Tamandua tetradactyla: one gene and its partners. The protein of the gene in region 2 purifies or fractionates together with the protein of the main gene of each other region. This does not show direct contact. Links are inferred from orthologs where the notes say so. Each region holds a gene or a part of one and is shown on either strand. Other genes may lie near its edges. The genes, in order: PDS5B, SLC30A4, STX8 and METTL9.

Region 1 (7,778 bases), on a different chromosome or scaffold from region 2:
TGCACTAGTCAAATGATAAATTTTGTACCAAATAAACATTTTTTGCTTTAGTCTTACATGTAAGTTAAAGTTTTAAAATATAACTTACCATCTATTTTCAGCACGCTGCAATATTGACATTCCTTTGTTCTTCCTCATGCAGTTTTTTAATTTGTACATTTAGTCACTATCATTGTACACTCTAGGCATTCCTGGATTATACCATCTCAGTCTTTATCATCTATCTTTCCTTCTGATTTCATTTGTGCACCCAACCCTCCTCCCTCTATCATTCTCACATTTTCATTCATTGTACTAACATTATTGTATTAGTTAACTACCCCTTTTCTTAAGGAAACTAACATAAAACAGCAATATTTTGCTGTTTTTTTCTTCCTTATTATGCTCAAACTTTGGCTTTACCTTCTGCTTTTCTAGCAGGAAATGTGATGGTGAGCCACCTGTCATCATTCCACATCTTTGGCGTGTTTTCAATCTTCACAAGTTTTATATTCTTTGCCATCCCACCAGTAAAGAAAAGGGTAATGAAAAGAAAGTATGTTTTTTATTCTTAAACAGCGATAGCTATTTACTAATGGCATACTTCTGTCTGCTGGGCGTGTACGTGTTCTCAAATCTTAGAATTAGACTGGACAAACTGCCAACCCATTCCCTATTCCACACTGATTTCTGTGCATTACTTGCTTTTTATCACAGTAACTGCTACTCTCAAAAGGAATGTAAATGATCTCATGCTGTAACTGTCAGCTGCCTTAGCTGTTCGTTTGCCTGATGTCCCACAGGTCTTGAGTCTCTACTTTCCTTGAAAATCTGAAATATCCCACAAAGCCTTGTGACTTCACTTTGATGTCCATGGTGTTCTGAGATGCCTCGCTGCCCAGCTGGTAGTTTACAGTTTATGCTGGGAGTATGTGGGGAGAGGCTATCCACATTTTATAGAAGAGAAAAAGGAACTGTCTGTGTAGAATAGGCTGTAGGTATTTGTACAAAGCTGTTTTACTGAGCAGTCGTATTCATTTGCATTTTGAACTCAGTCTGTATTTTAAAGTTTATTTTCTGTTGGTATTTTCTTTAACTATAATCAAGTTCCCTTTTAGAGGAAGCAGGTTTTATTTTTTTATTTGCCAGGGAGTTAAAAATAAATATCTTCTTTTATAGTAAAAGGTAACAAAACCATTTTCTATATTACAGTTCTTTCCATTTCTAAATTTGTTTTCCTGGGAAAATGTAGAAAAAGAGATCAAAAGTTAATTTGCAAATAAGTAATTGGCAGTAATTGAGTAATTGCATTAATAGATCTGTAAAGGATAGGTCATATTTAACTAATATCTTTGGAGAGCTGAGTAAGAATTGTAGATAATTGGAAGTCTGTGATAAAAACAAAATAGTAGAATTGTAGAGTTTCCAGATTGCTGTCTGGGAGAGATCTAAGGTGGGATGGTGTTGTAAATGAGGGTCGGTTCATCAGATTGAATTCTTTTGTGCCTTCTAGGCGTTTACACTGGGGGATGAGAGTCGGGAGCAGGGGGTGGAAAGAATAAAAATGGAGGGAGACATACAGATATTGTGTGATTATGTGTGTTAAAGCGTTCTTGTCTCCTGCCAAGTTTAACCTTGAATGTGTTTGCTGCCCAGTCTACATTTAAAGTTCAGTTTTGAAAAATAAGATTTATGGAGAAAAGTTTGAAGGATTATGCCTGTAGATTATTTGTTTTCTTCCTTTAAGGATTGCTTTAAAAAATACTTTATTACAAATACTTTGCAATAATAAATCTATAAGTAAATTTGCCTTTCTTCCATCCCGAGCTCAGATTATGACCATGTTCAGTTTTTACAATTTATCATAAAGCAGAAATAATTTTATCTCCTCTGTTTTTGATTAATTTAATTTTGTACATATTTTTCCGTTTCTCTCATCTCCCACTCCTGTCCCTATGTGGTGCCTTTGTGTGCGTGTTCATGCGCATGGTGGTACTGATGTTTGTTTTACAAAAAATGTGATTAGGTTCACATATATGTACATACATACACACTTGAGCAGAATGCTTTTCTTACTCCTCAATACCTTAATATAAGCTGATACTGATCCAACTTGTTCTTTGTAATAACTGCATAATATTCCATGGTAAAATTAACCACACTCCATATATATATATGTAAATATTAATTTATTATAGGAATTAATGTATGCAACTGTGGAGATTGGCAAGTCTGAATTCTATAGGGGATATAGGGTATATATGACACCATAAGGAAAGGTAAAAACTGAAATGGTATAGTTTAGGAATGCCTAGAGTAGACAATGATGGTGGTTAAATGCACAGATATAAGAATGTTTTTACATGAAAGAGAACAATTGAATGTCAATATTGCAAAGTGTTGAAAAAGGTTTGGTATACAGAAAAAAATACAATCAATGCAAGCTAGAGTCTATAGTTAACAGTAACATTGTAATATGTGTCCATTGAATGTAATATGCCAAAACTAAATGTCAGTAAGTGGGGGATATGGGAATGGGTATGGGTTTCTTTGCCAAAGAAAAGGAAGTTTCCTCCTTTAGATTGAGGTGACAAAGGTATGGCTGTGTGATTATACCAGGAACCATAGATTTTTTCACCTAGGTTGGATTGTATGATGTGCAAATAAAACTGTTTAAAAATGGAGAGAAAGAGATACAAGTGGTGAAGAAAATGTGGAGAAAGAGATGTACCTGTTCACTTTTGGTTGGGAAGCAGGGTGGTACAATTTCTTGGAGGGCAGTGTGGTGGTTCCATAGGAGGCTAGGGATAGGGTTACCATATAATCCTGAAACCCTGTTGCTCAGAATATACCTGGAGGAACTGTGTGGGGACATGGACATTTGCACACGGTGTTTCTGGGCAGTGTTCCTGATCCATAGTGAATGGAGATGGCCTAAGGGTACGACGATTGAGGAATGGAAGGGGAAGCTATGATGTATACATACAATAGACTACTGAGTGGCTGCCCGAAGGAATGAAGTTGTGAGGCATGCAGCTAGGTAAATGAACCTTGAGGACAGTATGTTGAATGAAATGTCAGAATGAAATGACAAGAAGACAAATATTATCATGCCTAATTCATAAGGACTAGCTGTAAAATACAAAGTTGGAGAATTGAAGTCAAGAGCATGGTTGTCAAGTTTTGGGGGCTATTGTAAAGGGTCCTAGATTGTAAGCTTTTACAACAGTCACATATCCAGGAGTTATAACTCTGTTTTCTAAATTCTGAGATGCTGAGCTATTTGCATATAACCTGATCATTCCCTGGAACTTTGGGTATTTGTGTGACACCTGAGACGCAGAGCTCGGAAGCTATGAAAGTCAACACTACCTCATATGGCAATTGTTAAAAAAAGTGAAAAAGTGATCAGACTTCAAGTAGAGTTATAAATGAAACTGATCTGGATAGAACTAGAGTAAATCAGAATACAGGGTAAAGGATGATATGGTCTATATTTTAGAACTTCAACTTCTTTGTGAGACCGAAGGAAGAGACAGTTGTTTGCTGCAAAATTTTTTTTTTTTGAGTAACTCATCTAATTTAACTTGTGTGGTCAGTTTATTCGAACGCCATGATTACATGAGATCTTGTTGGTTTGTACAGGCTAGTGTGGTGCCGTTATACATCCCAGAATAATTTGGGCAGTGAATAAAAAAGTATTTGCAAAGTCCCCTTGGGGGACTAGGAAGAAAGGAGAAAAATTTAAACTCCCCCATCTGAGGAATTTCTGATATTCTCGCAAGCAGACAGGGCAACCAAGGCTCAGTTTGGGACTCGCCCCTATGAAAACTTATTTCTCTAAAGGAGAAGCTAAGCCTACTTGTAATTTATGCCTAGAGTCACCCCCAGAGAACCTCTTTTGTTGCTCAGATGTGGCCTCTCTCTCTAAGCCAACTTGGCAAGTGAATTCACTGCTCTCCCACTCCATGGGACATGACTCACAGGAGTATAAATCTCCCTGGCAATGTCGGACAGAAATCCTGGGATGAGCCAGGACCTGGCATCATGGGATTGAGAAAGACTTCTTGACCAAAAGAGGTAAGAGAGAAATGAGACAAAATAAAGTCTCAGTAGGTGAGAGATTTAAAACAGAGTTTAAGAGATTATCCTCTAGGTTATTCTTAGGAATTATATAGCTATCCCTTTTTAAGTTTATGGTATACTGGGGTGGGTAGAAGAAAGTGCCTGAGACTGTTGAGCTGTGTTCCAGTACCCTTGAGTCTTGAAGAAGATTGTATGACTGTATAGCTTTTACCATGTGACTGTGACTTTGTGTTTGTGAATTGTGTCTGATGTTCCTTTTATTTAGGGTATGGATAGATGAGTAAAAAAAAAGACAAAAATAAATAATAGTGGGGGATAAGGGGTAAAAAAAATTGCGTAGATTGCAATACTAGTGGTTAGTGAGGGGGAGGGATAAGGAGAATAGGATATATGTTTTTTCCTTTTTTCTTTTTTATTACTTTTTCTGGAGTGATGCAAATGTTCTAAAAATGGTTAGAGTGATGAATGCACAGCTCTGTGATGATTTTGTGAGCCATTGATTGTGTATGGAATGGACTGTATGGTGCATGAAGATATTTCAGTAAAAATATTTAAAGAAGAGATTTACCCCACTTCATTTAGCTGTAGGATTTACTACACTTCATTTACTTATATATGTAAATATTAATAGATTTATTATAAGAGTTGGCTCATGCGACTGTGGAAATTGGCAAGTCTGAATTCTATATGGGAGGCCACAAGTTGGAAACTCCAATGAAGGTAAAGTATAATTCCTCAGGAGTTGCTCGCTGGCTAGTTGGCTGAAGTAGAGACAGAAATTCTTATTTCTTACTGCTGAAGTACTCATTTTTGGCTTTTAAGACCTCCAACAGATTGGATGAGGAGACTCCCCTTACTGCTGATTGTAGTTGGATTTAGCTGCAACTGTAGTCACCTGAATAGGTACAGATTCATCCAAGAAATACCCCCACAAGAAAAGTGCTTGGCTTATAATAGATGCTCAGTAAATGTTTGTTATTGAAGAGGAATAGTTGACACAATCCTGTATTGTCAGTTTGATTGTATTTGGTTGATTTTGGTGGAGCCACATGTTTTAGAGCTCAGATGTGAAGGTGGTAAAGCAAACAGACTTGTGGAAATTAAGGCCTTTAAGATAGATGTAACTTAAGAGTGTATCTGAGGGTAGAACCTGTATTATTTATTTTTATTTTTTTGGTTGTCGGTCTGTTCTGAGTTCCTGAAGTTGCATACTGGATTGTTCCAAACTTGTTTGGCCATGGGAATTACCTGAGGTACTTTTTAAAAATAACAGACTCTGAAGCCCTTTCCCAAATCTATTGAAACAAAATTTCTAGAGGAGAACAGGGAAATCTTTATTAAAAGCAAATAAACACAGGACGGTGCAACAATGGCTCAGCAGGCAGAGTTCTTGCCTGCCATGTTGGAGACACGGGTTCAATTCGCGGAGCCTGCCCATGCCCAAACAAACAAACAAAAAAACAGCAAATAAACACAAAGCAAACAAAAACAGGCATGTATGTTTTGGCCACAATACTGCCACAGAAGAGAGCTGAGTTCAGATTTTAGCCAGGATGAATTTAAGGCAGATGTTGTCAATTATCTGTCATAACCACAGAAGAATCTTTGTTATGCTGCCATGGAAATGAGTAGCACACTTTCCTAGCCAGGATGATGTAGTTTTAAGTTAGCCCTAAGGAAAAAACTGTTTTGCTTAGAATTATTGGTTATGAATTTAATTAATAATAAAAATAATATTATTTAATGAGACTAGATTAAAACACTTATGTACCTTCAACATTAATATTTTCTGGGGTATCTTCAAATATTTATAGGCTCTAATGGGTTTTGGAATGTCTTTCTCATTGTAGCGAAATATATTGAGAAAAAAATGATCAGTTGAATTCTTTTGGCGCGCTGGACATCCAGATTCATCTCAGATTCCTCTACCTGAAATTCTTTCATTACATTTTATCTGCAGAGTACATAATTTTCAAAGCAAATTTGTTAGTTAAATGTTTATTATAGTAGATACTGTCTTACTTTTAATTAGATAGAATTAATAATAGTACTTTCATTTGTTTTGTGTACAGTCTGGTACATTGGGTCCTTTGGGATTAATGCAGAGGCTTGAAGAGATACAGTGTAGTTTTATGTGAAGAGTATTTGCCATTGAATGAAAAGTGTGGATCTCTCTCACTTGGCAGTGCCTGAGTCACATTCACCATGCACCTTGTTACTGAACACGGCAGCTTTGTAATCGTCCCCAGATGGGGAAAGAGTGGACGGTAGGTAGTGGGGATCCCAAGGAGGTAAATGACCCTATCTGTCACATTTATTCACTGGCAAAGTTTTCTGCTGTTTTAACAAAACCCTTTCTCCCATGAAACCACTTCTCTCCTGTTTTCTATCGCATCTTCTCTTCAAATGGTTCTGTGCTCTCTTTCTGTTATCCAGAGACTCCAGTTACTGCTTCTCCATACTCCTTTGCAGCCAGCCCTCATCCATTCCTACAGGCTCCCTATGTTTCTTTTCTGTTTTTTTTCTTTTACATGGTCAGGCACCGGGAATCGAACCTGGGTCCTCTGGCATGCAGGTGAGCATTCTTGCCTGCTGAGCCATTGTGGCCCGCCCTCTGTGTTTCAGTTGGTGTGTCTGTGTCTTTGGAAATTCCCTTTCTGAAATACAAATCTGATCTCTCTTCATATTTCTTAGAAATCAAACAAAAGCAAATGATAACTGCTTTGTGTGATAAAGATCAAACTCCTTATCAGGAACATAAGACCTCATATTAACTGGTCCCAATTTCTTCTTCTTCTTTTTTTTTTAATTGTTTTTTATTAAACATACCAATATGCAAACACAAACATTCTTACCATATGATCATTCCATTCGTGATATATAATCAGTAACTCACAACAGCATCACATAGTTGTATATTCATCATCATGATCATTTTTCTCAGAACATTTGCATCAATTCAGAAAAAGAAAAAGGAAAACAGAAAAAAATTCATACATACCATACCCCTTACCCCTCCCTTTCATTGATCACTAGCATTTCAATCTACTAAATTTATTTTAAAATTTATTCCCTTATTATTTACTTATTTTTAATCGATATGTTTTACTCATCTGCTGCTGCCCAATTTCTTTTATCATGACTTTCTTTTAATGTGTGCGCATGGGTATGCACATACACATCTGCCGAGTCATGTTAGTGTAAGATAAATTAGCTCATACGATTGGTGAGTAAGGGAATGTTGTGAGTGGATGCAGGAGTTTTGTTGGTAATAGGTATTTTTTTCTAGCACATTAATATTTTCTCAGTATTTAAGGGCATTCTTTCTTACAAAGATAATATAACACTTTAACAGTGTAGGAAGATGTTCAGAAAAGAACTGAAAATCCTGCTGCAAAAAAACTGCCTTTCTTTAATACAAGCACAAGGTTTAATAGTGTCAAGAATTGCTTTTCCTTTTATCTTAACCTATCTGGTAAAACCACAAGGGCAGATGAAATACTGCAAGGTATTGTGTTTGACAAAAAAATTGAACAAGGCCATCATTGGATTAAGTTTTGAATTTTGCTAAAATTTTTCCTTTTAGAAGTAAATACCTTCAAGGACTCACATCTTGAAAGAGAAACCCTGAATTGGCCAAGGTTTAAAACTGAAAGAACTTGATTAAGATACTGGATACAGATACCAGTGCAGATTTACTGTAGTGGTATTTT
Region 2 (7,014 bases):
CACAAAACAATTTTTACCAAATAAGAAATTTCAAAAATGCTAACTCAGGAAAATTATATCTTAATGATTTTTGCATATGTGAAAAAACTCTAATTTTAAAGGGAAAAAAATTTGTGAAATTTTAAATTTAAAAGGGAAAAAAATTTTCTAACTTCAAATATTAAATATTTAACTTCAAAAATCACTAAGTCTGAATGACTCCATATTCTAGCTGTGTGAATTTTGTTAAGTCACTGTGCCTTATCTGACCATAACTTCACTCCTGACTTTTAATTTCTTTACAGCTTAAACATTCATAATTCTCTAACAAAATAATTCAACCAAAAAATATTTTTGAGTGTCTACCCTGTGCCAGTGACTATCCTAGATGCTCAGGATTCAGCTTATATTTGAGTAGGGGAAGAAATATGAAACAAGTAAATAAACAAACAAGATAATTTCAGATGTTGAGTGGTTTCAAAGTTGGGGAGGCAGCAGGGGAGAAGGAAGGTTTTCTTTAGACAGACAGAAAAGGTGTCTTGGAAGTGGTTTTTGAGATAAGACACAACAACAAGAAACCATTCAAGAGAATACCTGAAAGGGCCGTCCATGTAAAGCAGTGTTTTTCAAATTTCAGGCCCTCACCTATTAGTGAACCATGAACCAATTTAATGGGCTTGGACCACTGTTGAAAAAATATTAGGATACAGCACAAGATAAAATTTTGTTTCAGTTATACATATACGTGTGTGTGCACATATATGTGTATATATATGTACATGTATGTTTGTATGTCTATGTGGGTCACAATGTTTAGTTTATTTCTTACTATGACGAGGTCAAATAAAGTTTGAAAGCCATGGAAATAAAAGAACCAGCCAGTTTGAAGACTTTAGAGTCAGAAAGAGCTTTGGAATCCCAGGAAGAGAAAGAAGGGAACATGGGGGAAAAGTGGTATGACAGGAGGTAGAAAGCGCATACAAATTTCCTTCACTTAACCTCCAAGCATCCTAAATCTGAACTGCCACCTCTGCTCCTGTCAGTGTTTATCATTAAGAGATGTGAATCATCTCCCTGCTTTAATGTCACTCTGTAAACTGTCATTAAGAGGAGCAAGCTTGGCTGCAGTGGTTCAGTGGTAGAATGCTTGCCTTCCATGCAGGAAACTCGGGTTCGATTCCTGGACTATGCACCCCCCCCTCAAAAAAAAGAGGAGTTAGCTTGCTTTTTTGTATAAGTGTTGTTTTTCACAAAAAAGAAGAAAAAGTAGATTGTGATGATAAAATGCACAGCTATATGATGATATTGTGAAACACTGGTTGTACACTTTGGATGACTACATGGTATGTGAATATATAATATATAACAATAAAAAATAAATAGATAAGAGGAACTAGCAGTTACCCTAAAGTGCCTGTAAAAATAATTTTTAAATAAGAATATATTTTACAGTAATAATGTATTACTTGCATAATTAAAACATGAAAAATAAAACCAAGTTCAGAAAATCCTGGATGAACCCTCTGGTTCTTTTTAGGTACCCCTTTTCATTTTATAATGTTATTATTTGGCATTATTTTTAGCATTAATTTTGCAAATCTCTTGCAAACAAATACAAAAGAAAATACAATAAAGAAACCATTTAAATTGAAATATAGGGAAATAATCAAGAGACTGGATTGTAGCTGTGGCTCCTCCATTAGCCATCTAATTGGCCTCACAGCATGTTGACCCTCTCTGGGCCCTCAGATTCTTCTTGTGTAAAATAAGCAGGTTGGAGCAGGTGTTCAGTAAGTCCCTTCAGACTGTAAAATTCTATGATTTTAAATAACTTTAGAATCAGGTACTATTTTAAATGCTGCAAAAATTAACCTGGTGTTTTCTCAGACTATAAAGAGAGAGAAAAAGAGGAAGTTCTATGATACACAATGAAGATAATGTCCATAACTTGACCGTAGATGGCACAGTGTTTGGAGAGCTAGGTGAAAGCAAAACTTATCTCTGGAAGTTTATGTTGTGCTCAGGTTGATCTGCACTTTGGAACCATGTGGCCTTTTCACATCATGAGATTACAGTATCTTAGATAACAAAATTTCCTGAAAACGAAGTTTAAACTTCATATCATGCCTATCTAAAGCCTGACCAAGACTCTCCAGGCAAGGTAAATGGAAAGTGAGTTGAAACACAACTCACCTACAAGTTCTCCAATCATGAAAAGCAAGTAAAGAACGGCAGCAATGGTCAATCTGGTTTTCACCTTTCTCTGCTTCAGTAATTCTCTCTGTTTGCTGCAGTTGTCACAAGGGTCCACCTTCAAACTCAGCTGGCTGTTGGTCAAAGGTAAGTCCTGGTCCAGCAAGGAATCGTCGTCGGCCTGGAGGGCCGGGTGCGCCCCATTAATAGGCCTTCCTGGGGTTTCCGAACCATCATCCGCCACCACAACTCGAAGTTTGTTAAACCTAGAAAGCCCCTCGTGCCCAACCTCATCCGAGAAGTCAAAGGCGCTGGTGTCATTTAAAAACAGCGGCGCATCATCCTTCTTCAGCAGAGATCTGAAGCGCTTCCACGCGCCGGATCCGGCCATGGTAGAGGCCGAGCGGCGGCGGCGCGGAACGCCTCAGGGCAGGCGGACGGTCGGCGGCGCCTACTTCACCGGAGCGCCCGTTCCCGATGGCAATGCCACGCGTCCCTCCCCATCCTGCGGAAAACGAAACGCGTTAAAAATTAAAGACTCCCAACATTCCCCGCAAGTTCCAGTGCCCCGCGCGGCGGAGGCGCAGGGCCAGCCTGGAGGCGACGCGTCCGCTGGGTCGCCGCCGCTGCGGGCGTCCGTAGACGCCGGCCCGAGATCCGCGAGGGGGACGGCGCATCTACCTGGGGCGCTGCCTCGGGGCCACGGCTCATCTCTCCGCCCCGGCTTGGCCCGACTGGCACGAACTACTCCGCCCAGGACAGCAGGGGCACGGAGCCGTCCTCGCGCCTGTAGCACCCGCCCGCCGCTCTCCGGGTCTGACAGGTCCCGGGCGGCCACCGCCTCTCTCCGCCCTGCGCGAGACGGCGCGCGTGCGCTGGAGCGGCAACGGGTTGGGCGCAGGAGGGAGGGGTGGGAGGGTGGACATGCAGGCCCGCGGCACAGGCCTATGAGCGTCCGCGAGGGGCGGAGCAGAGGCGCGCGCCGTGTCTCCCCGCCCCTCGCCCGGGTCCAAGCTCCTGGGCCCGGCACGCGAGTCTGCGGCCCCGGGAGACTAAACCGCGTGCTCTGTCGCTGCCTCTTACCCTACCCGAGGCGAGACCCTTTCTCCCGCGTGGCCCTTCCAACCTTCTCAGACTGGGAGGGATGTGCGGACCGAGCCGGGATCTGCGGGCCAAACGGGTGGGCTCGAACGGTCCCGCCGGGGTTGGGTGTCGTTGCCCGGCATTCCAGATACCTGCCCTATGGTTTTGGTTGCAGGCACTAGGCAAAAAACAACCAGCGCCTTCTCACTAAGTGAGAAGCTGAGTAGTAGCTTCCTCTTTGGCCGGTTGGCAAAATTTGCTGCCCAGTCAGGCTGTCTTGGAAAGGGCACGGCTTATTTATGGTTGTCAGCAGTTTTGTGTCCTGCTTTAGGTTTACTGTTGTTATTCAGCAAATATATGTGCCTTCCGTGTGTTCACAGCTGTGTTCATTTTGCCCCTTAACTCCCCTCCTAGTGAGTGTGGGCTGTGCTTATTGAATATTACATAGCCTCTAAGGAATAGAATATGGTAGGCATGATGGTGTGTGATTTATAAGACGAGGTCATGAGGTGTTCCAGCTTCCTCCTGTTCTCACTTAGATCACTTGCACAGAGAGAATCCAGCTGCCATGTTGTGAGGACACTCAAGCAGCACCATGGGAATGGCCCACGTGGTGAGGAACTGAGGCCTCCTGCCAACAGCCATGTGAGCAACTCATATAGAAAGCACATCCTCCAGGCCCAGTCAATCCTGAGCCAGTGCTGACTGCAACCTTGGAAAGATCCTGAGTCAGGACCACCAAGCTAATCTACTCCCAGATGAGACTGTGTGAGGTTATAAATGTCTATTGTTTTAAGCTGATAAATTTGGGGATACTTTGTTATAATGTAATAGATAGCAAATGTACTCTATGTCAGATTTCCTCTGTACTAGGAAAGACACTTTTTGTACTCTCTCATCACATGGCATTTTGTTGCCGGCCTTCCTTCGGGCTAGTGTCATAATTTCTATCATTGAACTTTGCAATAGGCTAAATAAATAGACTTTTGTGAATAGGCTGGGAATGTAACCACCATTTGTAGTCTTATTTCTAGGTATTCAGAATTTATAACAATAGGCAAATATACTTTTGAAACGTGACCCATTTATAATCTAAGTACTGCTTGCAGTTCTGCTAGCTATTGCTCAGTCTGCCATTGTTTTATAAAAAAAAACTCCATACTTCTTTTTAGTCTGAAGAACTCTTTTGCATGGTCAAAGGGAAAATTTCCCATTTCTCAACCAGGCAACCCATAAAACACAGATTGTCAGGTAATAGCAGAGGTCTGTCAGTTCAGTTGCAAGACATATACCTTGGAACAGTTAACTAGGATAGACACAAAATATCCTATGTCTAAACCTGCTTTCTGGCCCAGATATCTTTTTGAATAAAAGGCAAATGCTATAAATAACACCACAGTTAACATTTATTTAACTTCGGTAATGCACCAACCACCATGTAGGGGGCCTGACTTACATTAGCTCATTTAATCCTTACAGTATCACTATGAAGAAGATAGAGATAAAAAGCATGGGCCTTGGAGTCACCGACATGGGTTCAAGTCCTGGATTCACCATTTACTAGTCATATGATCTCTGGCAAATTATTTAAACTCCCTGTGTTTTAATTTTCTTATCTCTGAAGTGAGGATGCTTTATAAGGCTGTGGTAAGGATTTAATGAGATAATGCATGCAAAATGTGTAAAAGCATAGACAGTTCTAGTCACATAGTCCATCAATGCGAGTTATTATTTTTAAAGTAGATGAAGAGGTGGAGGCTCAGGGAGGTTTAGGAACTTGTCCACGGTCATGAAGCCGGCACATAACAGAACAGGAGCTCAATTATCTGTTTGGTTTCAGAGCTCAATCTTAACCATTCATCTACACTGCCTCTCTCAGTTTTTCTGCACATGAATAGAACAGTCTGCAGAAAAGCACCTAGACTCCTTGAGGCATGCTCTGAGAGACCCCTGTTTCATACCTCAAAGTGTGCCAGTGACTTGAGACCTCAGCGCCAGCCTGTGAAACCCCCTTTGTGGAAGGGAAATGAGAGAGGAAAAATAGTGAGAAAGTATTTTAATTTAAACAAAAATGGGAAAAATGCCGCTTAGTTGAAAGGTTCGGATGCTGCACATTTCCCATCCCGAGAACTTTTTCCATTGGAGTCTGTGACTATAGATGGTTCCCATAGAATGTTTTTAGAATGCATCCCTTTATTTTTTTAAGAGTGGATGGAAATAGTTATTGAATGGGTATGAACAAGGGTTAGCGATGTGACATGACATGGCGGAACATGACGTGATGTACAGCGATGGTGAGTGTACTAGCCTCTTCCTCCTCTAGATTGCTCTGGATCGCTCTATTAATGGAAGTGCTGGGATTGCAGTCTAAGCTTTCTCCCGGGGAGGGGAGAGGAGAAGGACCCAAAACCAGTAAAAGAGAGAATTGCCTAAGGACAGGAAAGGTGGCATTTTGGATAAGGTGGAAATAAAGGAGAAGATCCCTGGTCAGGGAATCTATTAACCTTCCAGGCACACCAACCTGTACTCAATCAAATGAATCGTTTTTAATTAATCCTTTGCTTTTGTTTTCCCTTAGTTTTAAAAGTAACACTCCTAATGACTTTCTCCAACCGTGTCTGGCTGAAATTAGAAGGAATAAGAGGCCCAGTTGGGACAGTGGGTTTGGAGGTGGTGGCTGGGCTGGGAGCTTATAGGTGAGGGTGACAGGCAGACTGGAAACTGTTTTGGTTTGCTTAAGCTGCCTCAATGCAACATACCAGAAATAGATTGACTTTTACAAAGGGAATTTATTAAGTTACAACTTTCAGTTCTAAGGCCATAAAAATGTCCAAATTGAGGCATCAGCAAGAGGATACCTTCACTCAAGAAAGGCCAGTCACATCCGGGGTTTCTCTGTCAGCTGGGAAGGCAGGAGGTTGGCATCTCTTGGTCTTTGCTCCCAGGTTACCTTGCTTTCAGCTTCTAATTCCAGTGGTTTTCTGTGTCAGTTCTCCAGACATCTCTAAATATCTGTGTTTAGGTGTCTACTCTCTCTATCGGCTCTTTTAAGGACTCCAGTAAACTAATTAAGATCCACCTTGAATGAGAGGGGCCACATCTCCATGGAAACAACCTAATCAGAAGGTTGCATCCACAATAAGTCTGCACCCACAAGATCAGATTAAAAGAACATGGCTTTTCTGGGGTACGTAAGTTTCAAACCAGCACAGAAGCTAAGATCCCTTTCTGCCTCAGAGCCCCTTGTAAGAACTTGGAGAACATGGATCAATGTCTAATTTTGCCAGCTATTTGCTGTGACCCTTACTGTAAGCAGTGCAGTATTGCTGAGCCCATTCTCTTAGTCTCTAAAAAATGAAAGAATATTTGCCATTCCTATTTCATAGGGACATTGTAAACATGAAATGAGGTTTTGTATGTGAAAGAATTTCCTCACCTAATTTACTAGATACAGTTTTTACGTACTGTAGTATTTGAATCATCCTACAAATCAGGGTGTGAGCAAATGCTGGTGGCCAAGAATTATCCACTTATATCTTCTTTTCTTAGGACTGCTAATCCCCAGTCCTTGGTTTATTAATGATACATTCTGACTCATTTAGAATTCTTAATTCCCCACCCTACCATTATAGTTGCTTCTTTTCTCTCCCATGTGGTTTTATATTCCTAGCACCTAACACCATATGCACAGAGAAGCCCTGCAGATACTCATGGATTTAATACAGGAAAATACTATAATCAGAGAGAGTTCATCCAAAC
Region 3 (7,341 bases), on a different chromosome or scaffold from region 2:
ACCTTGAAGACATGTTCAATGAAATAAGCCAGATGCAAAAAGACAAACATTATACAATTCCATTTACATGAAACAACTCGACTATGCAAATTCAAAGAGACAGAAAGAAGAGCACAGCTTACCTGGAACAGGGAGGGAGAATGGGGAGTTAATGCATAATATATTCCGGGTTTCATTTTTGGTGTGACAGGGAAGTTTGGGTAATGGATGCTGGTGATGGTAGCAGAGTACTGTGAATGCAATTAATGCCAATGAATTATAGGCTTGGGGGTGGCTGAGATAGGAAAATTAATGCTGTATATATATTACCATAATTTTAAAAAGAGAGATGCAGACAAAAACAATTAAATGCAATACGTGATTCTAAACTAGGTCTAATAATGGAAGAGAAGACGTCCAAAAGTGCATTATTGGGACAACTGAAAAGACTGCATGCTTCATACCAATGTTAAATTTCTTCATCCTGATAACTGTTCTAAATATGGTTATATAAGTATCTTTGTTCTTAGGAAATATACACAAAAGTATTCACTGTTCAAGGAACATGATACATATAACAGTCTAAAATGTTTAGAAAATGGACAGATGATAATTATAGTTAGATAGAAAGATGGAAAGAGAAGGAAGGAGCGATGGAGGGAGGGAAGAAGAGAGAGAGGGAGATATAATAAATGCGGCAAAATGTTAGAAGTTGTTAAATATGGGTATTTGGATAGGAGGTAAATAGGAGTTCTCTGCATTGCTTTTTGTATTATTTTTGCAACTTTCCTGTACATTTGAAATTACTTTAAAAGGAAAAGAAAAAAGTAGGCAAAAATAAGAGAGAACATGCTACTGACATCCAGTGTTCACTAATGCCTTTACTTTGAAATGTTTACTTTGTACTAACAAAAGTTACCAAAAAAAAGTCCATCCAACATTTAAACTATTGAGCATTTACTGAAAATTTTCCAGAAATAATATATCATCAACAAGTTAGAGGTAAAACTAACTAACTTTAGCAAAGAATCAATTCAGGGCCAGTACAGTAATCACTTGCTACTTCTCTTGAACAGTGAGCTTATCACTGGCTTTTATTATGCCATCAAAACAGTAATAGTTTTCATTTCTAAATATTAGAACACTTTTGAGGAATGGGACCTCAGTGATCTGTGATTTCCAACAGTATGTAGGCAAAACTATAGTCAAATCTGGTTTTATAGGTTTTTCAAATTTCCTTTCTGTACTCCTTTGTACCCCCTAAGCAGCAACTTGCAATTCACTTTAAAATACACATCTAACCCACTTTGGAGGGGTAGCTAATGTCAGCCCATCAGCCATTCCCTCACTCCCAGCAACCAAATAAAAAAATCACTAAGTCAAACTAGTTGACAGAACACAAAAAAATTATAAGCTTTTTCAAAATTAAAAAGTTTTGGAGTCCAGCTGGCATTTCCACTCAACTGAATAGGGTAACTTTGGGCCCCTCTATTGTTTCTGGGCTTTATTTCCAACCTTACGTGCAAACTGAGGGGGTTAGCTTCCAGGAGGTGGAGGGCAATTTACCAACATGTGTCAAGGGCCATAACAATGTTCATACCTCTGGAACCAATACTTCCACTTCTCCCAAGTGAGCCAAAGGAAATAGATGCTACAAAGGCACACAGCTTTTTCAATAGTGGGGGGGAAATTATCTAATCTAGCAAAGAGGTGAAAAGTTAAATTACGGTTTCTCATTTGCTGCACTATTAAAACATCATAAAAATCATGTTTTCAGAAAATATTTAATGACGTGGAAAAATGCTTCCTATTTTGTAAAATGCACACAAAATATCCACGTTAAAGTAATAGGTTCATTTTAAAAATCACCAGTGGCTATTTCCAAATGGTAGACTTAAAGACGCTATTTTCTTCTCTGCAAACTTTCAGTATCTTCTAAATTTCTACAGGGGGAATATACAGCTGTTAAAATGAGGTGGGAAAATATTAGTATTAAATCAATAAAGAGATTGATCTAGATGATCTAGGTCCTGGGCAACTCTAACTTTCATCTTGGTATCCATTCTAACATCCAGACTGCCCGAAACTTAAAGAATTATAAACTATATTGAAAAGACCAGCATAAGGCATATACTCCAAAAAGTTCAAATCCAATATGCTACAGCAAAAAAGTTCCTTGTGATCAGAGCTTGTGTTTATCATCATTCCGTCCTTGGGATTTAATGGTTACTCATTGTGAAGGAATGGTCTTTACCAGTTATTGCCTTATGCAGAAGTTATTGCTGAAAGAAAAGAATTCATGGTATTACTTAGAGAAGGGGAAAATGCCTTATGATCAAGTGCATAATTTCTCTCCCAAATTACTACACACTTTCTAAAGGGCACACAAGATCTAGGTTTTAGCTACAACTGGTTACTAGGTGGCTGGGGACCTCGGATTTTGAACCTCGCTTCCTCCAATCTGTGAAGCAAAAGGGAGACGGGGAAGTCTGTCATTGGCACTGACATTCGACAAAGAGGTTACTTCTACTTCACTTTTTCAAGAGTCCAAGAGAAGCCTCCATCAGTCAGCTGCAAATCTAGATAGGCGGGAAATCCCCGCGGCGAGAAGCAGCCCAAACAGACTTCAAAATATTCAGATTAAGCTTAAATCCTCAGTTTCCCGAGGGCTCACCAGGTCTCCTTCCCGGGCCACCTCCGCGAGGACCCAGGGTGGCGAGATACGACTGAGTCCCTCTCAACAGAGGAAGGGTCCTTGCGGCCCCTCTCCTCACCCCGAGGAGTTCCACCCCCCGCGCAGAACGGTCGCCCGCTCCCCGGAACCCTGGCGTCCCCTTAAGAACCAGGGTTCTTAAGAACCAGGGTCTGCGCGCGGCCGCCCTCACCCGGGGCTCACCAGGAGTCCGGGGCCATGGTGCAGTCTCCGCCGGCTCTACCAACACTTCCTGCTTGCGGCAGCTGCCTACGGCGGCCCGCGAGGCTCACTGCTCGCCGTTCGGCCGTTTGAGCCCGGAGCCGGGAATTTGCTAAGTGAATTTTGAAAAGTTAAGGCCTAAAACCGAGATGAAAAAAGGAAAGCGCTCTTCTGGGGAACAGAAGGTTGCAGGAATCCGCGCCGACTGAGACGCAAACTGCTAGGCGCGATTAAAATAAAATTGAAATTGAACCGAAGGTGAAGCGCCTCCTATATTACTTAAAATGTTACCCTGTTTCAGACAGGGCACCCAAAGAAGTATTAAGTATGTATTATTTTACAGCAACCTGTCTGTCGAGCCCCAGTAGATGCTTGGCTATGCAGCTAGCTGTGTATTTAATTCTTCCTAAATGTCCGGCGTAAGAGAAAAAAGGAAACCTCGGCTTGCAAGAAGAGGGCATCTGAGCGCCACAGGCGCGGGCGTGAATCTGGTGCGCGTGCGCACGCCCGTTACCATAACGACCAGAAGACTCTGCGCCCGCTGGGAGACAGAGGCCCGTGAGTCGGTGATGGATAAACGGGTGATGGACGGCCAAACTTCTCCCGAGGCCGAGGTGGCCGAGCTGGAGCTTGAGGCAGTGATCGGTTTCAATGGTGAGGCTTCGGGCATGTTGGGCTGGGTGGTTTAGGTACCCCGGCGACGTGTAGGGCAAACAGGGACAGTGAGACACCGGGGCGGGCTGGGGCAGGGGCGGGGGTTGGGAACACCGAAAAGACAGTGAGGGGCATTGAAAAGAGCCCGGGTCCAGCCTGTCTTCTCCCGCCCGAGAGCCTTGGGCAGTAACTTCCTCGCTCTGAGCTTCAGAAAGTGGCATGGTGTTTGCATGCTCCTGGCACCCAAAAGGGACTAAATGCCTCGCGTGGACTGAAAGTTGAGTAGGAGGGTGGGAGCAAAAAACGAATGGGATGATGCCTGTGTTATGACCCTCCTTCCACTGGCTCAGCCCTTCCTGCCCCGAAGCCCTAGGAAGCCCCAGGAAGCCGGCAAAGCCCCAGGCCCCTCCTAACCCACCAGAGGCTCTCTATGTTGGCCCTTGGAACCAACTAGCAAATCTTCCAAAATCCCAGCTGATGTACTAATGAGATACGCCGGGGAGGGAATGTGTGTTTGAGCAATCGCTTTAGGGGGTGATTTTGGTCTTCTAACTGGAAAGAAGGATTCTAATGATGAAGATTTCAGACCATCATAGAAAGGGATGCCATGGAAAGTTGGAGGGGACGACTGTTCAGCTTGGAAGAGGGGTTGCCGCTCAGTTCAAATCTTATTTGTGACTGCCTCCTGTTTTGAACATTAAGGGGGAGATGCTGTTTGTTTTTGTTTTGTTTTGTAGATGTGCAAAAAGCAGTGGATTAAACTTTAGAGAAAGCAAGGCCTGAAAGCTTTCGAATTGTAATAATTGAGGAGGCAGAACAGTCAATGGCTGAAGATTTAAGCAGATTCTAGGACCTGGCTCTTGTCTCTCACCTTCGTTTTACTTGGAAAGTCTCTGTGGAAAGCGGGCACTTAATACATCTCATTATCAGCCCTCTTGAGAGCTGGTTAAAAGTCCACTGGTGATGGTAGTGAGTGGCCTGCAGTGAGCATTAAGGAAGTGGTGAGGCAGTGTACAGCCTCATACTTACAGCTCTGAACTGATTTCATACCCTTTCCTAGAGCTCTAAGAGTAACTATATGGTAATTTGTATCCCATGTGTGCTGGTCTGAAAGGATGTATGCCCCCTAGAAAAGCCATGTTTTAATCAAAATCCCATTTCATAAAGGTAGAATAACCACTATTCAATACTGTATGTTTGAAACTGTAATCAGATCATCTCCTTGGAGATGTGATTTAATCAAGAGAGGTTGTTAAACTGGATTAGGTGATGACAGGTCTCCACCCATTTGGGTGGGTCTTGATTAGTATACTGGAATGCTGTAAAAGAGGAAACATTTTGGAGAATAGAAGAGATTCGGAGAGAGCAGGGAATCTGCAGCACCACAAAGCAGAGAGTCCACGAGCCAGCAACCTTTAGAGATGAAGAAGGAAAACACCTCCCGGGAAGCTTCATGAAACCGGAAGCCAGGAGAGAAAGTAGCAGATGGACACCGTGTTTGCCATGCGCCCTTCCAGCTGAGAGAGGAACCCTGACTGTGTTTGCCATGTGCCTTCTCATTTGAGAGAGAAACCCTGAACTTCATCGGCCTTCTTGAACCAAGGTATTTTTCCCTGGATGCCTTTGATTGGACATATCTATAGACTTGTTGTAATTGGGACATTTTCTCAGCCTTAGAACTGTAAACTAGCAACTCATTAAATTTCCCTTTTTAAAAGCCATTCTGTTTCTGGTATATTGCATTCCGGCAGCTAGCAAACTAGAACACCATGTTTTCCATAGCAATTATTAAATAGTTTTGCCTTTTAGAAAGGCCCAAGTCAACCAAACTGTGTTTTACTTTGTTGTTTTTGTGCAATTGACATTCTTTCATGTAGTTGAATATATATTTATTTAGAAAAGCTATATGCCAAATACTAAGTTGTTTACTGAGAATACAGGCATAAATGCATGGCCACACTTAAAAAGATGAGTTTAGAAAATAGGTAAAAGAGTGAAACAACAACAGAAAAGTCAACCATCATTACACTTTCCAAAGATATCACTCTTAATCTTTTGGCACGGTCTTTTATATATCTATGTATGAATGTGTTTTTTAGTAAAAGAGAGCTCATGCCATATATATATATATATATGCTCTTATAACCAGATTTTTTTTCCACATAACAGTATGCCATGCAGATCTTTCTTTAATAATATGCTCCACATCATAATTTTAATACTTTAATGTATTATTCCATTGCATAGATATGTAATAGACTTTAAAATACCTTTTTATTAATAATTTAGAATAATTCACATTTTTTCATTTATTTAAAAGTACTACAAACAACGTCTGCATAGCTAAATCTTTTAACTTTTTTCCTTAGAGTGGAGCCTGGTTGGGGAATGGCAAATAGCTCAGTGTGACTTCAGTATCAGACTGGCAAGATAACCCTGGAAAGGGTGCCTGGGGTTGATTTTGAAGGCTTTAAATAGCAGGTTATTAAGTTCATAGTTCACATAGAAACAAATGAGAAGCAAATTCAAAAGTCAAAATCTTTTTATCATTGTAACACTAGCACCCATTATACTGTCTTATTCTATTTTATGAATTTTAATTCTGGAGGTAATAAGTATATAACTGTGCTTGACTTATTTTATATAGACAGAGACTTTTTTTGGTGGGGGGGGATGCATGGTCTGGGAATCCAACCCAGGTTTCCTGCATGGAAGGTGAGCATTCTACCACTGAACCACCCTTGCACCCTGAGGTATCATATTTTTCCAGGAATCAATTTAAGCAAATCAGGTCTAAAATAAGTTGAACTGGATACCAAAGAACAGATAGAGAACAAAGCCATCCAGAAAGCCCTAGGTAAAAGCGTGAAAACAACCTCCAGAATAACCTAATTAAGGAAATCAAATGTCTAGATACCAGCAAAAAATAATGAGTCATACTAGGAAAATCAAAGATATGCCCCAGTCAAAGGAGCAGACCAACATTTCAAATGAGGTGCAGGAGTTGAAACAACTAATTCAAGATGTTTGAACAGACGTGCAAAATCTCATCAAAAATCAAATCAATGAATTGAGAGAGGATATAAAGAAGACATTAGGCAAACAAAAAGAGAATTCAAAAGTTTGAAAAAACAAATCACAAAATTTATGGGAATGAAAAGCACAATTGAAGAGATAAAGAAAAAACAATGGAAACCTGCAATGGTAGATTTGAAAAGGCAGAAGAAAAGATAAGGGAACTAGAGGACAGGACATCTGAAATCATATACGCAAAAGAAAAGAGAAGGAAAAGAATGGAAAAATAGGAGCAGGGCCTCAGGGAATTGAATGACAACATGAAACACATTAATATATGTGTCATGGATGTTCCAGAAGGAGAAGAAAAGGGAAAAGGAGCAGAAAGACTAATGGAGGAAATAATCACTGAAAATTTCCCATCTTTTATAAAAGACATAAAATTACAGATCCAAGAAGTACAGCATACCCCAACCACAATGGATCCAAATAGACCTGCTCCAAGACACTTAGTAATCAGATTGTCAGATGTCAAAGACAAAGACAGAATTTTGAATGCGGCAAGAGAAAAGCAATCCATCACATACAAAGGAAGCTCGATAAGACTTTGTATGGATTTCTCAGCAGAAACCATGTAATGATATATTTAAGAATCTGAAAGAGAAAAACTGCCAACCAAGAGTTCTATACCCAGCAAACTGTCCTCCAAAAATAAGGGGGAAGTTTAGAATATTTTCAGACAGTCACTGAAAGAATTTATGACCCTTATAGTATTTCTA
Region 4 (6,941 bases), on a different chromosome or scaffold from region 2:
TCCAGAGAGAACAAAGTTCTGACCCACTTCATGGTTCAGTACTAACAATGGCTGGTTAGGGAGCTGATGATATTGGGCACTGTGCTGACAGCTGTGCTAACATGATCTCATTTATTCTTCTCCAAAGTCCCATAAGAGCCTGTGAAGTGCACAGAGATTCTTTGCATCCTACATCAAAGCCGAGAAGCACCCCGTTTCTGTTGTCACAAGTATTGGGTGCACCTATAGTCCAGGAAGAACTTGGGCAACTCGGAAGCTCTCAAGCTCAATAAGGAAATGTCAAAATGAGGACCACAATGCCACACTTCCTCAGGGCAGCTTTCCCTGAACACTACCCCCATTCCACCCTCAAGTAAGGCATTCCTGTTATAAGTTCTTCTAACACATAGACTCTTTCTAGCACTCAGAAGTTTTAAGTATATATTCATTGTATAATTACTTGTTTGGTCTGTCTCCCTACTAGACAGTAAGCTCTATGAGGATTTTATTTTGTTTTCCTTTATGCCTAGTTTAGTGCCTGATGTAAGTAAATACCCAGAAAGTATTTATTGAATAAATGAAGATGGTCTGAGGAGAAGCTATCAGTTGTAAGAGAATGTTTTAGGGAGAGTAGCTTTGCAGAATTCACAGTCATATCAGAACTGAATATTCCTATTATGATAATCTTGGTTGAATGTTTTACAGTTTATGAAGCTTTAAGATCATCTGATTCTCACAGATTGTGAAGTAGGCATCATGGCCCACAGATTACAGATGATGAAAGGGAAGCTCTGAAGAGGTTGGTTTATCCAAGAGAAAATGAAAAGAACAGAAATTTAGCATTTTCTATGCACTCACAATGTGTTGAGGTGCTACACTACGCCCTTTAAATTTAGAATATATAATTTCATCCTCACAATATCCCTAGAGATAGGTAACTATTATTATTATCCCCATGCTACAGATGAGAAAACAGACGCCTGGAGAGGTCCAGTAAAGTGATTTAGATTATTGAATAACCAAGAAGCACAGGACCAGGTTTCAAAAACCAGGTAGCTTGTCTCAACAATGCAGATGATAAACCCCTATGCTAATATGTAGCATTGAGAGGACGCTAACGTAGTTGCTGTGCTATTTGTACTTGGTACTGCAGGGCTTCTGATTCCTGGTTTAATTCTTCTACTTCATGCATGTTTGAAGTTTCACCTGGACTTAGAATTTATCATTCGGAGACCACTGTGATGTGACTTGTATATGACTGCAATCATATGAACTAAATTCAGGTCAAACCCTGTACACTCATTCATTTTACTTTTGAGAGGTTTCTTGTTGCACACATCTATTGAATATGTTGGGAAAACTTGGTCTAATGTTCTACAAAACATTATTATGCAACATAAAAAAATTTAAGCCCTTGAAAACGTAATGATAAAAAGTTCTTTTTTGACTATATCTCCTCAAAGAGAAAACAATGGCCAATACTGTAGGCACTGTACAGATCCAAGCCTCTAATCATTTAGGATCTCTGAATATTACACTGTGAAATTGAAGAGAGAACATGAAAATGCTTTATCATTTAAAAGAATAAGCAAATAAAAGCCCTTTCTTCGACTTCTGGATAGGAACTCAATCCACTCAAAATTTCAGGTCTGCAGAGGTCTGTGACAGGTTTCCACAAGTGAGATATGGCACTAGGCATGGGCTCCTGGTTAGGAAAACTGAGGAGAGCTAGGCACAAAGGGTGCCAGCTATGCATCTTTTGATTATCACTGACAGCATTTCAGAGCCAAGTTAGAAAGGGTAATGGCTCGAATTATTCAGCTTTTTGTGTTATCTGCGCCTCTTCCCCTTTGCATTATGGATAACTGAGGTTTTAATCTACAGGAGTGACATTCTAGTAGATAAAGGAAGGGGGCAGTCCCCAAGAGCAATCTGAACTTCTGCTTAGTATATTTACTCTTGCTGTTTTCCTTCCTCCTCATTTGTAATTGAGGAGACTTTCTGACAAGAGAGTGGCATCGGGGCTTCTTAGATGGATCAAAGGACCGTGAGCTGGGATACCAGGTTCTATGAAAAGGTCTGCTATTGAATTTGCTCTGCTACCTTTAGGCAAATCATTTGATCACGCTGCGCTTTGGTTTCTTCCTGTGCTTGCTAAGTGTAAATAACATGTATTTGATTATTTTGTGGTTACTATAGAGTATTTTAAATGTGTGGGTAATTTATTCTTCCAGGCCAGCTGCTCAGGTATAAAGTAAAAATCTGCCCCTTCGAGATGCTAGACTTCTTAGGAGTTAGCTGACCCCAAATCCTTCAGGCTACAACAGCATTTAGTTGTTTCACCCTTTCAGTTTCCAAGTTGCCTGCTCAGCAAGCTTACTTTATAAGGGGTGGGAGAAAGGGACATATCTTTTTGCCTCCTTTGTCTTCAGAACGGAAATATGCCGTTTGTCTGCTGCTTCCACCCTCCTCCTCCCACTTTGAAAAGATGAAGGCTTTCTTTTGGCACACAGCTCCTGTATCTGTAACACTGATCCCAAGACAAGAGGGAGAGGTGACACAGTAAACAAACTGAGTTATTTGAACTCGCTACTTTAGTTTCTTTTTGATGATTTGGGCCACTATCATTGGAGGTTTGAAGTAGATTTAATAAGATGTAGTAGGCTCTTTGAGGTTTTGGCAGGAAGCAGACAGGGAGTATAATGGAAAGAGAGAACACAAAGTACTCCCTGCCCCCTTCCCCCCATCCCCCTTTACATTAGGCAACAAGATGTCCCTGTTAGTGAAAGGTGTCAAGCTGAGATTCTCAGAAGCTAATAAAAATATCTGTGGGTTAGGAACGAGGCTGCTGCTTATCAGATCACCACACCACTGTTTCATAAATGAAAAGCTCTGAAATGCAAATTTGTCATTAACCTAAAGATTGTTCTTTTGTTTTCGACTGAAATGTATTTACATTATTTCTGGTGTAGTTAAATTAAAAGCGTTTTTAAACAGACAAACCTAGAAAGGTGTTATTAAAGCTAGAGGATCCATGAAATACGTTACTCCTCGGCTGTAGCTTGGGTAGCGGCAGGAAGAATTTTAGACATAGGAACACTGTGTAACCCTTCAGTTTTCAGACGTTGCTAGGACTCCTAGTGCTACACAGGCGTAAACATCCGGGTAAGCACCGCTCCCAGAGCTTACTTAGCCTGAATGTTTGGTCCAACTTCCGTCTGTGAGTTCAAGAAAACGAGCAGCCAGCGACTCTAATTTGGGGTCTCCATCCTTAGGCAGGGCCATCAACACATCAAAACATTACCTGCCCAACTGCAGTAGCTTTCAACAAAAGCAGAGCCTTTGGCCCGCAATGTGCCAGGCTTGGGGGCACGGGGCCGGTGGTGGTATCCTTTATCCCTAGATTCCTATAATGTCCTGCAGTTCATGTGAAGCAGGACGGAGGCCCTTGGCACTGGGGGTTTGACTCGACGCCTCTAAACATAAACTGGAGGTATGCAGCCATGCCTGAACAGTTAAGAACTGGCAGCGTTTGTCTCTGGGAAGGACTTGGTTCTTGAGTGTTAAGACGTAAGAGGGGCTGACCCGCTCTCACCCCTCCACCCCCGGCCAATCTGCCCAACAAGGTGGGCGCACCGCCCGGGTGTGGGATGAGGCGCCCAAATGCAACAATTACGGCGATGAAAGACCAGCAGTCCTGCGGGAACCACCTTGGAGGAGCGGAGGGGCTTCAGTTACCGCCTTTGGAAACGACCCCTCCTCCCCTAGAAAAATTAAAATCATCTCCGCCATTACGTGGAGCCGTGGCAGAGACAGGAAGCGTGGACGCGCACCGGGCGAATGAGCGCTCCTTTTGTCCCGCCTCCCGGCCCGCCCGCTCATTGGACAGAGGGAGAGCGCCCCGGGGAGCACGCGCTCCAGCCGCTCGTACGTGCTCCGGCTGGAAACTGGCGCCGCCCGCGGCTGCGTTCCGGGGACGGAAGGGAAAGGGGCGGTGGGAAGGCTGCGTGTGAGTCGGCCGCTCCTCCCCATCCCCCGCCTCGGCCCCGAAGGGGCTGGATGGGCAAGTTGGGCGCGATGGCTCGAGCGCCGGCGGCGGCGGCGGCGGCCGGAGGCGGCGGCGCCTCCTCCTCCTCGCCCCGGCGCGGGCGGTGATCTGAGCGAGCGGCCGCGGCCCCCGATGAGACTGTTAGCGGGCTGGCTGTGCCTGAGCCTGGCGTCCGTGTGGCTGGCGCGGAGGATGTGGACGCTGCGGAGCCCGCTCACCCGCTCCCTGTACGTGAACATGACGAGCGGCCCGGGCGGGCCAACGGCAGCCGCGGGCGGCAGGAAGGAGAACCACCAGGTACACTGCCGGACCCCGGGCCGGGGCGGGGGCGTGGCGGCCGGGCCTTCCCGCGCTGAGTCCGGCTATTGTGCCGGGTGGCTCGGCACCGCGAGAGGGAGGCCGGGCCCTCGCTCCACGGTGCCGGCGCTTCGGAAAGTTTTCCCCCCCGACTCCCCGGCCGGGCGCCGGTCCTCCACCCCCGGGCGCCAGGGCCCGGCCGGGTAGCGTCTTTTGTTCCACGTCGCGGGCAGAGCACGGCCTCCTTTTTCTCCTTCCCGGGCCCGAGCGTGGGCGCCCAGGAGCCCCGCATTGTCCCCCGGTCCCCGGAACTGATTGCAGAAGCCCGGCCACCTCGGCGGCTGCTCCCGGCGGCAGGATGGGAGGAACTTTGGGGCCGGTGCGTGGCGGGGGGCACCCGCCTAATACCGGGGCCTGAGATCCAAAAGAGCCTCTCAGACCGGTCAGCCCGGACAGCCTTCATAACCTCTGGGAAACATAACGAAAAGCCGGTGCATCTTTCTGTCTAGTTGAATCTCTGAGCATACAAAGGGTCATAAAGAAATTTAACCATGCATCGTGAGCCATTTCACTCTCCGGGCTTATGCAGGTGACATCTTCCCTAAGCATTAAAAAAATATGTTTGAAAGGTCCTGACTCCCATCCTACGGAACCTTCCTTTCTCATCCTTCCCAGGGGAGATTTCCTTTAAACTTCTATTTAAGTATCTGACCGGAAAGATGTTTATGAGGAGGAAGATGATGCAAGCTATTACAGGAAGGGCTTTTAAAAACAGAACTGGGCTGGAGTTGAATTCCTTTAAGAGTTGTACTTGGGGATCGTGAGTGATGCGATGTGACCCGATTACCGTCTTATCATTAGCCCAGTTTTGTGTCACTTAAAGAAGTACGGGCAGTTCAGCTGTAGAATTAAGAGTGAGCTGTTTCATATTTGACCACACTTGCGGTTAACATTACGTTCAATTAGAAGAGGCTTTTGAACTCTGCTAGGGTGCTGGCTCATAATAGCTAGCATTTATGATACAGAGAGTAGTGGCTAATTATTCTCCATGTCGTCTTGTGTATCATTTTCACATTTCTTATTTTTCTGTGTTATTTTTCTTAGAATGCCAGATATTCAGATAGTTTACACTGAGGTTGATTTCGTGTGACTTAATGACAGTAAAGAATTATCTAAGAAGTGGATAAAGCAGTTTATTCAGAAAAGAGACATTTTAGTTTTGACTTAGTGAATATGTAGGTCCCCTTTTCCTTTATTGAAAGGAATCCTAAATTTATGTTTATAGAAAATACGTATATTTTTTGTAATCTCTCAGGTATTGTAGTTTGTTAGGCAGTCATTCCTGTGATAGTGTAAGAAGTGGTAAAACCACGTTCATTGCTATGGAATAATTATTTTAGTTAATTAAGAAACAACTCTAAAGTCCTGTACTGATAACTGCTACTAAAATGACGTATTCATATAGAGTATGGATAATGGCATAGAATGATTAATTAGAAATGTCATTTTTAACAAAGATTTGATAGAAAAACGGTCTGGATAAGGAAAAAAAGGCTTATTTCCATTGATGTAGAATTATGATTGGGTGTTTTATTTGAACACTTATTATCACCTGTTCTGCAGCAAACTTGATAAGTTTTCATTGCTCATAAAAGAGTAGATTTATTTTAAAATTTGAAAAACTGTTTAAGCAATTTGACTTTTATGGAGCCTAGTAGAATTATAACTGGTTGTCATAGCCTCAGAATGTCTCCTAACAGGATGCCTTCTAATTGTGTACGTTTTAAAAACTGTCTGTCACACTTAGGAAAACTTCATCTGAGATTATATTCGTGTGTGTGTGTGTGTGTAAACACGTATGTGTTTTAACCATTTGCACTGACAGTTTCACAGATTTCTCCATGGTGAAGTCTAATCTGGTGCTTTCTGAGTATTTAGGGGGGATTGACTATTTTACTTAGAATAATGAATCCAGACTTTGTTTCGAGATGAATACGTTCACATTGTGAAAATTTCTTTTATGAGTAAAGATTAAAATAAAAAGTATATAGAAAACACAGTAAGATAAAGTGAGGTAAGAGACTATTCTACGCAACTTGGCTAAATGTATTATATTCCAGGATCCTAAATTTACCTTTTAATTTCTTGCTTATAAAGTAACTTTACTCTTAATGTTTTTTTAAAAATTTTTTAGAATTAATAGTTTTATGTAAAGTCTTCTGGTGTTCATCTGGTGGTGTTGATTCCATAGCCAACCACATCTGGTTCTTTTGGAATTGCTTGAAAGGGTTGTGGATTTGATTGAGCTGTACTTAGCACAAGTTTTCCTTCTGGTTATTTTATTAAGGGATTATGGTAGAGTGTTCCATGGTTAAAAGAGAAATCTTGTGCAATGTTTATTCATTAAAAATTGCTACTTAGTATAGCTTGGAGATGGAAGGGCCCCTACTGGTAGGCAGCTCCTCATGCTAGAGGGAAAAACATGAGTGAGAAAACTGGTTTCTCTTACTTTGGGCAAGTGAAAAGCAGGGGCGTCTTTTAGAGCAGGAAAATGGCCTGCGGGCCAGTTTGGACTCATTGACTTTTTTTAGGCTTGCTGACTTTTTGTACTGGCTGT

What was found.
Region 1: the proteins of SLC30A4 (region 2) and PDS5B purify together in Homo sapiens (affinity purification with mass spectrometry; 3 studies listed by BioGRID and IntAct, counting the BioPlex papers as one, with this or other methods). This does not show direct contact. The link is inferred for Tamandua tetradactyla from reciprocal best matches to the Homo sapiens genes SLC30A4 and PDS5B.
Region 3: the proteins of SLC30A4 (region 2) and STX8 purify together in Homo sapiens (co-immunoprecipitation; 3 studies listed by BioGRID and IntAct, with this or other methods). This does not show direct contact. The link is inferred for Tamandua tetradactyla from reciprocal best matches to the Homo sapiens genes SLC30A4 and STX8.
Region 4: the proteins of SLC30A4 (region 2) and METTL9 purify together in Homo sapiens (co-immunoprecipitation; 3 studies listed by BioGRID and IntAct, with this or other methods). This does not show direct contact. The link is inferred for Tamandua tetradactyla from reciprocal best matches to the Homo sapiens genes SLC30A4 and METTL9.

The regions. Positions count from the first base shown.
Region 1 is NC_135330.1:197,481,755-197,489,532, forward strand, and holds the start of PDS5B (sister chromatid cohesion protein PDS5 homolog B), read left to right. Parts: upstream 1-4,771; 5' UTR 4,772-6,270; coding exon 6,271-6,332; intron 6,333-7,778. UniProt on the Homo sapiens protein: Regulator of sister chromatid cohesion in mitosis which may stabilize cohesin complex association with chromatin. May couple sister chromatid cohesion during mitosis to DNA replication.
Region 2 is NC_135340.1:59,805,605-59,812,618, forward strand, and holds the start of SLC30A4 (putative proton-coupled zinc antiporter SLC30A4), read right to left. Parts: upstream 3,022-7,014; 5' UTR 2,854-3,021; intron 2,678-2,853; 5' UTR 2,564-2,677; coding exon 2,173-2,563; intron 1-2,172. UniProt on the Homo sapiens protein: Probable proton-coupled zinc ion antiporter mediating zinc import from cytoplasm potentially into the endocytic compartment. Controls zinc deposition in milk.
Region 3 is NC_135332.1:63,395,216-63,402,556, forward strand, and holds the start of STX8 (syntaxin-8), read right to left. Parts: upstream 3,001-7,341; 5' UTR 2,893-3,000; coding exon 2,876-2,892; intron 1-2,875. Other genes in the region: CFAP52 (cilia- and flagella-associated protein 52), read left to right, coding at 3,463-3,547. UniProt on the Homo sapiens protein: Vesicle trafficking protein that functions in the early secretory pathway, possibly by mediating retrograde transport from cis-Golgi membranes to the ER.
Region 4 is NC_135349.1:34,751,665-34,758,605, reverse strand, and holds the start of METTL9 (protein-L-histidine N-pros-methyltransferase), read left to right. Parts: upstream 1-3,921; 5' UTR 3,922-4,159; coding exon 4,160-4,324; intron 4,325-6,941. UniProt on the Homo sapiens protein: Protein-histidine N-methyltransferase that specifically catalyzes 1-methylhistidine (pros-methylhistidine) methylation of target proteins.